3 linked regions of the Mus musculus genome follow. The protein of the gene in region 1 binds, or shares a complex with, the protein of each later gene. Links are inferred from orthologs where the notes say so. Each region holds a gene or a part of one and is shown in the gene's direction. Other genes may lie near its edges.

What was found.
Region 2: Dpm1 (region 1) and Dpm2 share a complex: the UniProt entries of both Homo sapiens proteins name them as parts of the dolichol-phosphate mannose (DPM) synthase complex. The link is inferred for Mus musculus from reciprocal best matches to the Homo sapiens genes DPM1 and DPM2.
Region 3: Dpm1 (region 1) and Dpm3 share a complex: the UniProt entries of both Homo sapiens proteins name them as parts of the dolichol-phosphate mannose (DPM) synthase complex. The link is inferred for Mus musculus from reciprocal best matches to the Homo sapiens genes DPM1 and DPM3.

The regions. Positions count from the first base shown.
Region 1 is NC_000068.7:168,208,485-168,211,056, reverse strand, and holds the end of Dpm1 (dolichol-phosphate mannosyltransferase subunit 1), read left to right. Parts: intron 1-420; coding exon 421-525; 3' UTR 526-2,009; downstream 2,010-2,572. UniProt on the Homo sapiens protein: Transfers mannose from GDP-mannose to dolichol monophosphate to form dolichol phosphate mannose (Dol-P-Man) which is the mannosyl donor in pathways leading to N-glycosylation, glycosyl phosphatidylinositol membrane anchoring, and O-mannosylation of proteins; catalytic subunit of the dolichol-phosphate mannose (DPM) synthase complex.
Region 2 is NC_000068.7:32,569,447-32,573,794, forward strand, and holds Dpm2 (dolichol phosphate-mannose biosynthesis regulatory protein), read left to right. Parts: upstream 1-1,411; 5' UTR 1,412-1,463; coding exon 1,464-1,466; intron 1,467-1,759; coding exon 1,760-1,849; intron 1,850-2,850; coding exon 2,851-2,953; intron 2,954-3,512; coding exon 3,513-3,571; 3' UTR 3,572-4,125; downstream 4,126-4,348. UniProt on the Homo sapiens protein: Regulates the biosynthesis of dolichol phosphate-mannose. Regulatory subunit of the dolichol-phosphate mannose (DPM) synthase complex; essential for the ER localization and stable expression of DPM1.
Region 3 is NC_000069.6:89,265,285-89,267,714, forward strand, and holds Dpm3 (dolichol-phosphate mannosyltransferase subunit 3 precursor), read left to right. Parts: upstream 1-1,176; 5' UTR 1,177-1,322; intron 1,323-1,444; 5' UTR 1,445-1,449; coding exon 1,450-1,728; 3' UTR 1,729-1,795; downstream 1,796-2,430. UniProt on the Homo sapiens protein: Stabilizer subunit of the dolichol-phosphate mannose (DPM) synthase complex; tethers catalytic subunit DPM1 to the endoplasmic reticulum.

The DNA.
Region 1 (2,572 bases):
TCTGGATGGTGAGTTATTAGAGATGACCCCACATCTAATACCAAATACTACCCTCCCAGAATGCCTCTTGTCTTGTGAACATTAGAAGGGTTATAATTTAACTCCTCTGCGACATTAAACGTAACAATTGAAAGAGAGAAAAAAAACTGAAAAACCATCGTACTGGAACTAGGCCCTGAAATTGAGTGCACTAGCATAGTGTTGAGGTCAGTGCTTCTCAGACAGCTGCAGGTTTCATCCAGATGACTGACTGTAGGTAATGAGTGTGTCGAGGACAGTGACCCTAAGAACCGAGATTGTCAGTGCAGAGTCCTGGTGCTGCAGGTTGAGGCTTTGCTCTGTGTTGAATGCCATAGCCTGAGCTCGCTGCTGCTGTTGGTTGAAGACTGACTTTAATGTATTCTGTGTTTTCTAAACCAGGTTCCAATTTCATTTGTGGATCGAGTTTATGGTGAATCCAAGTTGGGAGGAAATGAAATAGTCTCGTTCCTGAAAGGGTTATTGACTCTCTTTGCTACCACATAAAAGAAATGATTCACTTATGCTTCCCGTGTTCATTTCAATTAAAAGTAGAGAAGCCCGGGTCACTGATTTTTATCAATGTTGTCTTAACACATGAGCCAAAGGTAAGATGCATTTAATGTGGATCTTTTTCTCTGGAGAAGCTCCATTTTATATTTCAAATTAAAATTTAAAGTTCTTGGTTTAGTGAGCAATGTTCTCAATTTTCATGTACATTACACCTATAAATAAATGTATATAGGTTTTGCATAAAATGTTGCTGCTTTCATTTAGATAATGTGAGTGCAAGTTTCTTATGAAAAAAATGTGGAATACTTCATAAAACTAGATTGTTAGTTCTTTATCCCTAGATGGTAGAAAGGGAAGCTTAATTGCATTTACGAAATACAGTTAGTGTATGAACTAGAAAAGAAGTAAAACCTCTGACCTGAAGTCCATGGCAGATGTCTGAACCTAGATGAAGCAGTGCTCCCTGCATGTGCTCCCTGCATGCAGACTGAGCATAGCCTGGTCCGTCAGAGCAGACCTGTGCAGAGTACAGTGTGGGCTGGGAAGCAGTTAAGCAGTGGGTCACATTAGCTGTGCTCTTGGCTTTGTCTTCTTGAGCAACAACTCCTATTGGAAAGAGAAGTATTTTATCTCTTTTTATCTCAAAATATTTGTACATTATTTCAATACCTCAACAAAACTTGATACCACAACAGAAAAATACCTGTACTATTTTTCTTCATCCAGAAAAATGTTCTATTGTTAAAATGAAGGATAAGTTGCTCCATACTGTCAGGGAAGATACTTCACTTATCAGTCAGTGAACTTCTGTCTGTAGCATAGCTTTCAGATCATGTAGTATGTTTCAGGGTCTCTCTGTGTAATAGCCCTGGCTGTCCTAGAACTGGCTTTGTAGACCAAACTCAGAGATCCATCTGCCTCTGTCTCCAAAGAGCATGTTTTAGGTTTTGAGTGAATACATGAGATCTAGTTGCATGTCCTTTGCAAGAAAAAAAGAACAGACATCTGTCTCTTAAGTTACTGCATAATCACATTTAGTGAACAGTGTCATAGCCCAAGCTGACTTCCAGCTTACTCTGTAGTCAAAGCTAGTCTTGAATTACTGGTCCTGTTTCCTTCATCTCTCAAGTGTGAGGACTGTGGTGTGCATCATCATACACCCCAACCTGTATACTTGTTTCCCACCTTACTTGGGCTGCTAAAGAAATTGAAAGTCTTAAATGTTCACTTCCTTTTTCTAGCTGATTGTAACAAGAACAAACGTGAGCTACACCTTCACTTTGTTTTGAGCATGAAAGCCTTGCCATGTAGTCACATAGCTGGGCCCACAGTGCATATTCCAATAAGAACTACTGTTGTTGTGTTCCCCTTTGCCAAAACTTGTCGCACATCCATGGGGAAGTGACTTGTTTCATCCTTAATAACTAGAATATTTATTAGTGTTCAATTAAATTTTGTTTTAAGCCAAAGTCATAGGACTATAATGTTATCGAATTGTTTTTTGAGTGCTGAGAAATCTATCTTGAAACAAGGCATTAGGTTTTCAGTATCAAGTACACAGAACAGAAGTTAAGCAGCGACCTCAGCAGGAGTCACTGTAGATACAGCATTGCTGCCTCACACCTCACTGGGGCAGAGAACTTTGGTCTTTTTCATTTTTCAGTACTTAGCCTGTGTAGAATTACTCTGTCACTACTGCCATCGCACAGGGTGTGTTTGAGCAGTAAACACCAGCATTCAGAAGCCATTTAGAGAAGAAGGTTGCCCAATTTTTTTTGTTTGTTTGTTTTTTGTTTTTCAAGACAGGGTTTCTCTGTATAGCCCTGGCTGTCCTGGAACTCACTTTGTAGACCAGGCTGGCCTCGTGGCCTCGAACTCAGAAATCCTCCTGCCTCTGCCTCTGCCTTTGCCTCCCGAGTGCTGGGATTAAAGGCATGCACCACTGCGCCCGGCTCAAGGTTGCCCAATTTTTATGCTGTATTTTTGTGCTAAATCTGGTGACATAAGCATGCACAGTTTTTTAAGTTCTCCGTCAGAATCC
Region 2 (4,348 bases), about 140 Mb from region 1:
TGGGACCTGTAAGACAGTTTAATGTTTCTATTAGAGAGATATAAAAGATCTGCAATATTTTTAGGGTTCTTTTCTGGTTACCCTACAGCTGACCACGTGGTCTGGCAGGATGAGCAGGCCCATCTTCTTCTGTGGGGAGAATTTGCTTTTGTGTTATTCCTTTCTAACCAGGTTACCACTGCACCCCATTCCGTGGGCTGTTCATATCTGTCTCAGCTTATAATAGAAAATTATGTCATATGGGGAAATCAGCCTAGTGTCAATGTTTGGTTTGGGGGTGGAATTAAATGCCGATGTTTTTGTTACTGCTTTTTGTTGGTGTTTCTTTTCATTCTCATCACCGTGTTGACTTGGGGGCTGCTAACAGGAGTTAGCCATGTATGTGTAAGATGACATGCTGGGGAAAGTAGGTTAGTGTTCTCCAGTCTGACCCCAGTCATAATGCTCACCACAAACACACACATACATATTACATATATGTCCACACATGTTTGTATGAATATGAATGGGCACTTGACAAAGGTCGGAGAACACCTGTTACTCCTGAACCTCTTCTTGTTTGAGACGGTGTCTCACTCTGGTTTTGGGGAAAGAATAAAACGTTTTTATTTGGTATTTATAAGGTTTCCTTTAGCCATGAGGTTTAAGGAGACCTACTACTCCTCATGCCTCCAGAGTGTTGGGACTACAGAAATGCACCACCATGCCCAGCATCAATTCGGGGATCTTAAAGCCCCACTTTTGGTCCTAATCATCGAAGAAACTGGTTAAAAATACCTGTCAGGGCACAAAGAGGGAGCTGTTGCCTCTGGTTGCAGAAATGGATAACCTGCATGGTGTAGCATTTGGAGAAGAATGGATCTACAGCAGCTAGCCCCATATGCCATGAGAGTAGTGTTCTGGGTGAGAAACAGAAGAAAAGCATGAAAGATAATTTGGCCCAGCGCCCCTTGGTTCTAAGAGGGCCATTCTGAAACCTCTGGCAGTGGACAATGAAGGGAAGCCTAGAAAGTTCCCTAGGAAGCCAACCAGTGGAAATTCTCATAGGCCAGGCCAGTGGTGGTCATTCTATACAGACTCTTCCATTAACAGTTTCAAGGCCAGAATGTAGAGCCTTTGAATTCTGATGTCTGCTTCAACAACCAACTCATTATGATCTATCCCTTTCCGGGACTTCCAACTCTGGGGTACATCTCACTCTGGCTTGGGACTGTAGGATAATGTTTAAATGATTATTGTTTGGGAAGGGTCTGACAGGGATGTAGCCACAAAAACCTGAAAGTCTGAGCTCCCGGCCCTACAGTTCCCTGCAGAAACTACATTTCCCGACATGCACTGGAGGGCGGGGAAAAGTGCCCGCACGTCAGCTCAGACGAGTCTCCGCGTGTCACGTGATTTACAAGCCGGAAAGGCCTAAACCAGGAACCGGATGTATTTTGTTGCTCCGGCGGAACGCTGGAGAGATGGTGAGCCTGGGGTGGAGTACATGTGTGATTTGAGGGTACCAGGGGTCGGGGCTCTGAGTAAGAGTCTCCTTGGGAGATGGAGTTGGGCTCTCCAAACCCAGATCGCTCTCTCCACCGCTTGCAGACAGGTGACACGAGGCCTGACGTGGCTTTCTAAACCCGAGAGCCACTTCTAGTAAGCCCTCCGTGGTTCTAAATGAATGAGAGGTTTGGAGTGTAAACCGGCTGCTCCGACCCTCCGTTAGTGCTTGTACACGAGCCATCTCGCCTGCTGAGCCTTTATTTTTCTCCAGGCCACCGGGACAGACCAAGCAGTAGGATTTGGCCTTGTCGCCGTTAGCTTGATCATCTTCACCTACTACACCACTTGGGTGATTCTCTTGGTATGTGTGCCCCACCCCCACCCCGCTCACCTTCATTTTGCTCTGGATCTCTAAGCCAGTTTCCTAACGCGACTTAATCAGCGTCTGTGTGCCAGCGTCTGGATGTTTAGCTAGCTCTAATCTCACGAAATCTACACTATGGTGCTTGCAGATGGTGTCTACATTTTATAGATGAGGAGGCTAAGACTCGGGGAGAAGGCTGTTTCTCAGCCTCTGAACTGCCGCACAGTGAGGCTTTATTTTGTGTTTGTCCTCCTGGTTAGCCAGCAGGTTCCTGGGTGTAGCAGTCGCCGGTGGAGTTTATTAACATCTCAAGTCTCTCTCTCTCTCTCTCTCTCTCTCTCTCTCTCTCTGCCTCTCTCTTTAATGTGGGAAATTTTGTTAGTTATTGTTTTAAAGTACACTGTGCTTGGAAAGGGGCATCTTGCAGTACTTGGTATCCTTCAGAGAGGAAAGTTAGGTGGGCTGACCTTCGGTGATGAAGAGAACTGGCTGATTCTCCAGAGGACTGGGGTTCAAGTTCCAGCACCCACATGGCCAGCTACAACCATCTGTAACTCCAGCTCCAGGAGACCCAGCAAAAGTCCCTGGAACGGAACGCCATTGCTGCTTAAGTTGTGTTAGGAGTTAGATTGGAGATCCAGGGCTTGGATGAAAGTACACCTGGACTCACAGGCACAAATGCATGATCAAAAAATAAAGACCTCTTTAAAAGACCTAGAGTTCTCAGAAGGCAGAAGAAGGGGGGAGGGCAGCTTGGTGAGGTCAGCCAGGGCCTCAGAAATCAAAAAGGATGGTTTCCAGCACTCACAAGGCCCAGGCAGTATTCAACAATACAGAGACAATATGGTGGGTCTCTTGTTATGATACATATCCACGCTTGGGGATGCTATCAAGGTGGGCCCTCAGTATCCAGTGCTGCCAGGGGGAGGTGGGACGGCTTCCCTTTGGGGCTGAGTAAGGTGAGCAGTACTCACCAGAGCTCTTGCCCTTGGTGCCAGCCATTCATTGACAGCCAGCATGTCATCCACAAATACTTCCTGCCCCGCGCCTACGCCGTCCTCCTCCCGTTGGCCGCAGGCCTCCTGCTGCTCCTATTTGTGGGTAAGTCTCCCGATCTGGGGCAGGGTGTCTGGAAGGCAGCGTGCTTCCACATGCTGGCACCTGCTGTACATCTGCTTAGACTCTCCTTGTCACCAATGCTCCCCGGGGCTTTCCTATTCCTTAAAGGCCACGGGCAGAAGCTCCTCTAGTGGTGTTCCCAGTTTTCAGGTTCCTGGGGCAATGAGGACATGGCTCCCCTTTCTTTCCTGTCTCAGCTTCATCTTCATCTCTTCAATGTTCCTGCCTCAAGTCACCCTGGCATCTCTTACGGCTCTGTGGGTTGGGAACTGTGTCTTTGCTGTTACGCTATTCTAAGCTCTAGCCCAGGAGCCTAAAAGAGTGCTTGGGTTGACTGAGGAACCACATGGCCGGATGATGCACAGGTGGTTAGCCTTGCACCATTTTGGTGATAGTTAACTGACCCTCAGTGGCTGTGTGACCTAGTGAATGACTGCAAAGATGCACCCCTAGGGGGGTTGGTTGGGAGCCTGACCTTGCATGCCTGGCCACCTAGCTTCCACTCCAATCCTCCCAGTCCCTCCTATTCTGTGTATTACAGGATTGTTCATCACCTATGTGATGCTGAAGAGCCAGAAGATAACCAAGAAGGCTCAGTGAAGGTCCAGCAGGGATGAGGCTGTAGGGGCCTTCTCCATATCTCCTCCAGAAAAGGGACCAAGGGTCACAGCTTACAAGATGGTCAAGCTGGCTGCACTGCAGCCCTCTTTGGGACATGGGGCTGTTTTCTTCTCAGTTTGACAACCTGGAGCCCTCTCTCTCTTGGTCATCCTTTTAGAAGCCAAGAGAAAGGTGGGTTGGGAAGCCTCTCACTTCCCTTAGGCTCAGAGGCTGAACATTGCTGGTTGGTCCTGTCCATCTCACAGTCAAAGCTCCCTGTCCCTTCCACCGAGTTCTCTCCTCTCACCTCTGTGCTCCTCCCACTGTGCTGATGGATTGAGCAGGCCTTCCCGCCTCTCTGTACAAGTCCTGTCCCGTCACAAGGCAGCTCTTCCGAGTCTGACACTTCCCAGGCTCCATGAGGACTTCTGGACCCAGGAAGCCCTGGGGAAAGACTGACAAACCCCAGAACCACAGGGTTACATCCAGGCAGCCACACTAGACCACAATTGGCCTGTTTGGGAAAACTTACAAATAAATGTTAATTGCGTTGGTGTTTGTCTCTCTGCCATCCTTGCTCTGGGGAAACTGGCTAGAGGAGGCTCAGATGCTACTGAGTTGTGCAATGAGGGCACCTCAGGTTGTACATTTGCGATGTCCCTATGTCAGACACAGGGTAAAACTGGAACTGGGATAGATATGATTCTTACTCGGGAAATGTCACAGCGGAGAATCAGAAGCCTGGCGCATCTGCTAAGGCCTAGTGTAGCCCAGTCT
Region 3 (2,430 bases), on another chromosome or scaffold:
CCTGAGCCTTGGGATCATGTGGATGTCCTCAGGACTTTTTCACTCCTCATTTACTCGTTTTTCCAACAACAGAATTGCTTTAAGGAAGGTTTGGTAACACACACATTTAATTCTAGCACTGGGAAAGCAGAGGCAGGAGTAACAAGGGTTCAGGGCCATCCTCAGCTACATCCCATGCTCTAGGCCAGCCTGGAATACATTACATTAGACTCTGTCTCAAAACAAAACGAATACCAACCAGGCTGGAAACAGCTCAGCTGTTAAGTGTGCTTGCTGCTCTTCCAGAGGACCTGAGTTTGGTTCCTAGCTCCAGTGTCAGACAGCTCACAACTACCTGTAACTCCAGCTTTTCTGGCTTCTGCAGGCACCTAAATGTATCCAGTATACGCTCAGATAGACACACATATGCACACATAAATAAAGATTTAAAACCCAAACAAACCAAAAATCAAGCCAAAGAAAACCCCCTTGTTTTATTTAAACTGTTATTGCTACCTAAAGGCAACCAACCCCTTTTTATTAAAAAAAAATTTTTTTTTTATTTTATGCACATTGATGTTTCACCTGCGTGTATGTCTGTGTGAGGGTGTCAGATTCTCTGGAACTGGAGTTACAGGCAGCTGTGAGCTGTCATGTGGGTGCTGAGAATTGAACTAGGATCTTCTGATAGAGCAGCCAGTGCTCTTAACTGCTGAGCCACCTCTCCATCCCCTAGCAACCAACCCTTTATCATATCCTGTAATGGTCATGGTCTTCTTTCTTCTTCTGTTGAATTGCCCTGGAATCACAGGTATATGGGCCTGTGATTTGCAGTTCAATTTGACATGACCAGCCTATTTCTTCAAGACAGGATCTCAGACTGGAGTTCAAGTTTATTCCGGGTACTCTGTAAAATCCTGTTTCAAAATATAAAAGGGCTCAGTGGTTGAGAACTTGCCTAGCAGGTGTGAGGCGGCCTGTTCATGTTTGCTGATTGATGGGTGTGTTGGAAGAATGCTTGAATAATTGAATGAGTGGGCTTTCTGCACTGGAGAATCTAGTTTAAGGGGGGCGATGTAACATTCCCATCTTAACGCAGCGTTTCGGGGTATCCTCCGATTGTCCACAAGTTCCAGCCGGTATCGATGTGGGTCTCCAGAACAAAACGGCAAAAACTCTTCTGAACTCAGATTTTCGAAGAGCAGTGTATAACCAACCTGGATCTGAGCGCGGCCGAAATTGTCCTAAGAACTACAGTTCCCAGAAGGCAGCCCGGAAAAAGGGCGGTAGTAGAAAGGGACTTCCGGATGCTGATGCGGGCCTTGTCAGCGCGGCACACGGAGGTACGCTTAGGTGGCGGGCAGAGTGGAAAGACGGAAATGGGTGGCGGAGACTGGGAATAAATGTCAGATGCAGAGCGGGGATCGGTAGAAAGAACCCTTAGCTTTGATTTTTCTCCCTGCAGCCAACATGACGAAGTTAACACAGTGGCTTTGGGGACTGGCTCTCCTGGGCTCTGCCTGGGCTGCCCTGACCATGGGAGCACTGGGCTTGGAGTTGCCTTTCCCCTGCCGAGAGGTCCTGTGGCCACTGCCTGCCTACCTGTTGGTCTCCGCTGGCTGCTATGCCCTGGGCACGGTGGGCTATCGCGTAGCTACATTTCACGACTGCGAGGACGCTGCCCGAGAGCTGCAGAGCCAGATCGTGGAGGCCCGAGCTGATTTAGCACGCAGGGGGCTGCGCTTCTGACACCTAAACCCATTCCAGTCTGGACATCTTTCCTCATTCCGCATTAAAATGCAGTTTTATTTTCTAATCTTGTGTAGTTTTGAGTATGGAGGATAGCGGTGGGGTGGGGGGTGGGATGGGGATTCTATATACTAGAGGTCAAGAGGTGAGGGGGCAGGAGAACCACCTTACCAGGCCTTACTTAGCTTTGCATTTTGATGGTGTTCTGTTCCCTTCTCAAGATTTTTTTTCTGTTTGAAATAGGATGCCATGTACCCTAGACTGGCCTTGACCCCAGCCATATGGCTGTGGATTATCTCGATTCTAACGTCTCTAATTACAGGCTAAACCCACCATGACTAGACTAGTTTATGTCATGCTGGGCTTCAAACTTGGAAGTCCACAACTGAACTATATCCCCAAAACAGGTTTGTTTACTTGTGTATATGGTTTTAATATATATGGTTTTAATAAGTAGTTCAACCTGGCTTACAACCAACCCTGTCGTGCTACCCAGGCTGCCCTCAACCTGTGGTCCTCCCGCTTCAGCTTCAACCTTGGAAGTGCTGCGAGGCTTCCCATACAAGGCTGCGCAGGAAGCATGGGTCCCTAACTTCCTTCCATTCTTCACAGCTTTCAAGTTGGTTGTTTTTTTGTTTTGTTTGTTTGTTTTTTGAGACAGAGTTTCTCCATGCAGTCCTGACTGTCCTGGAACTCACTCTG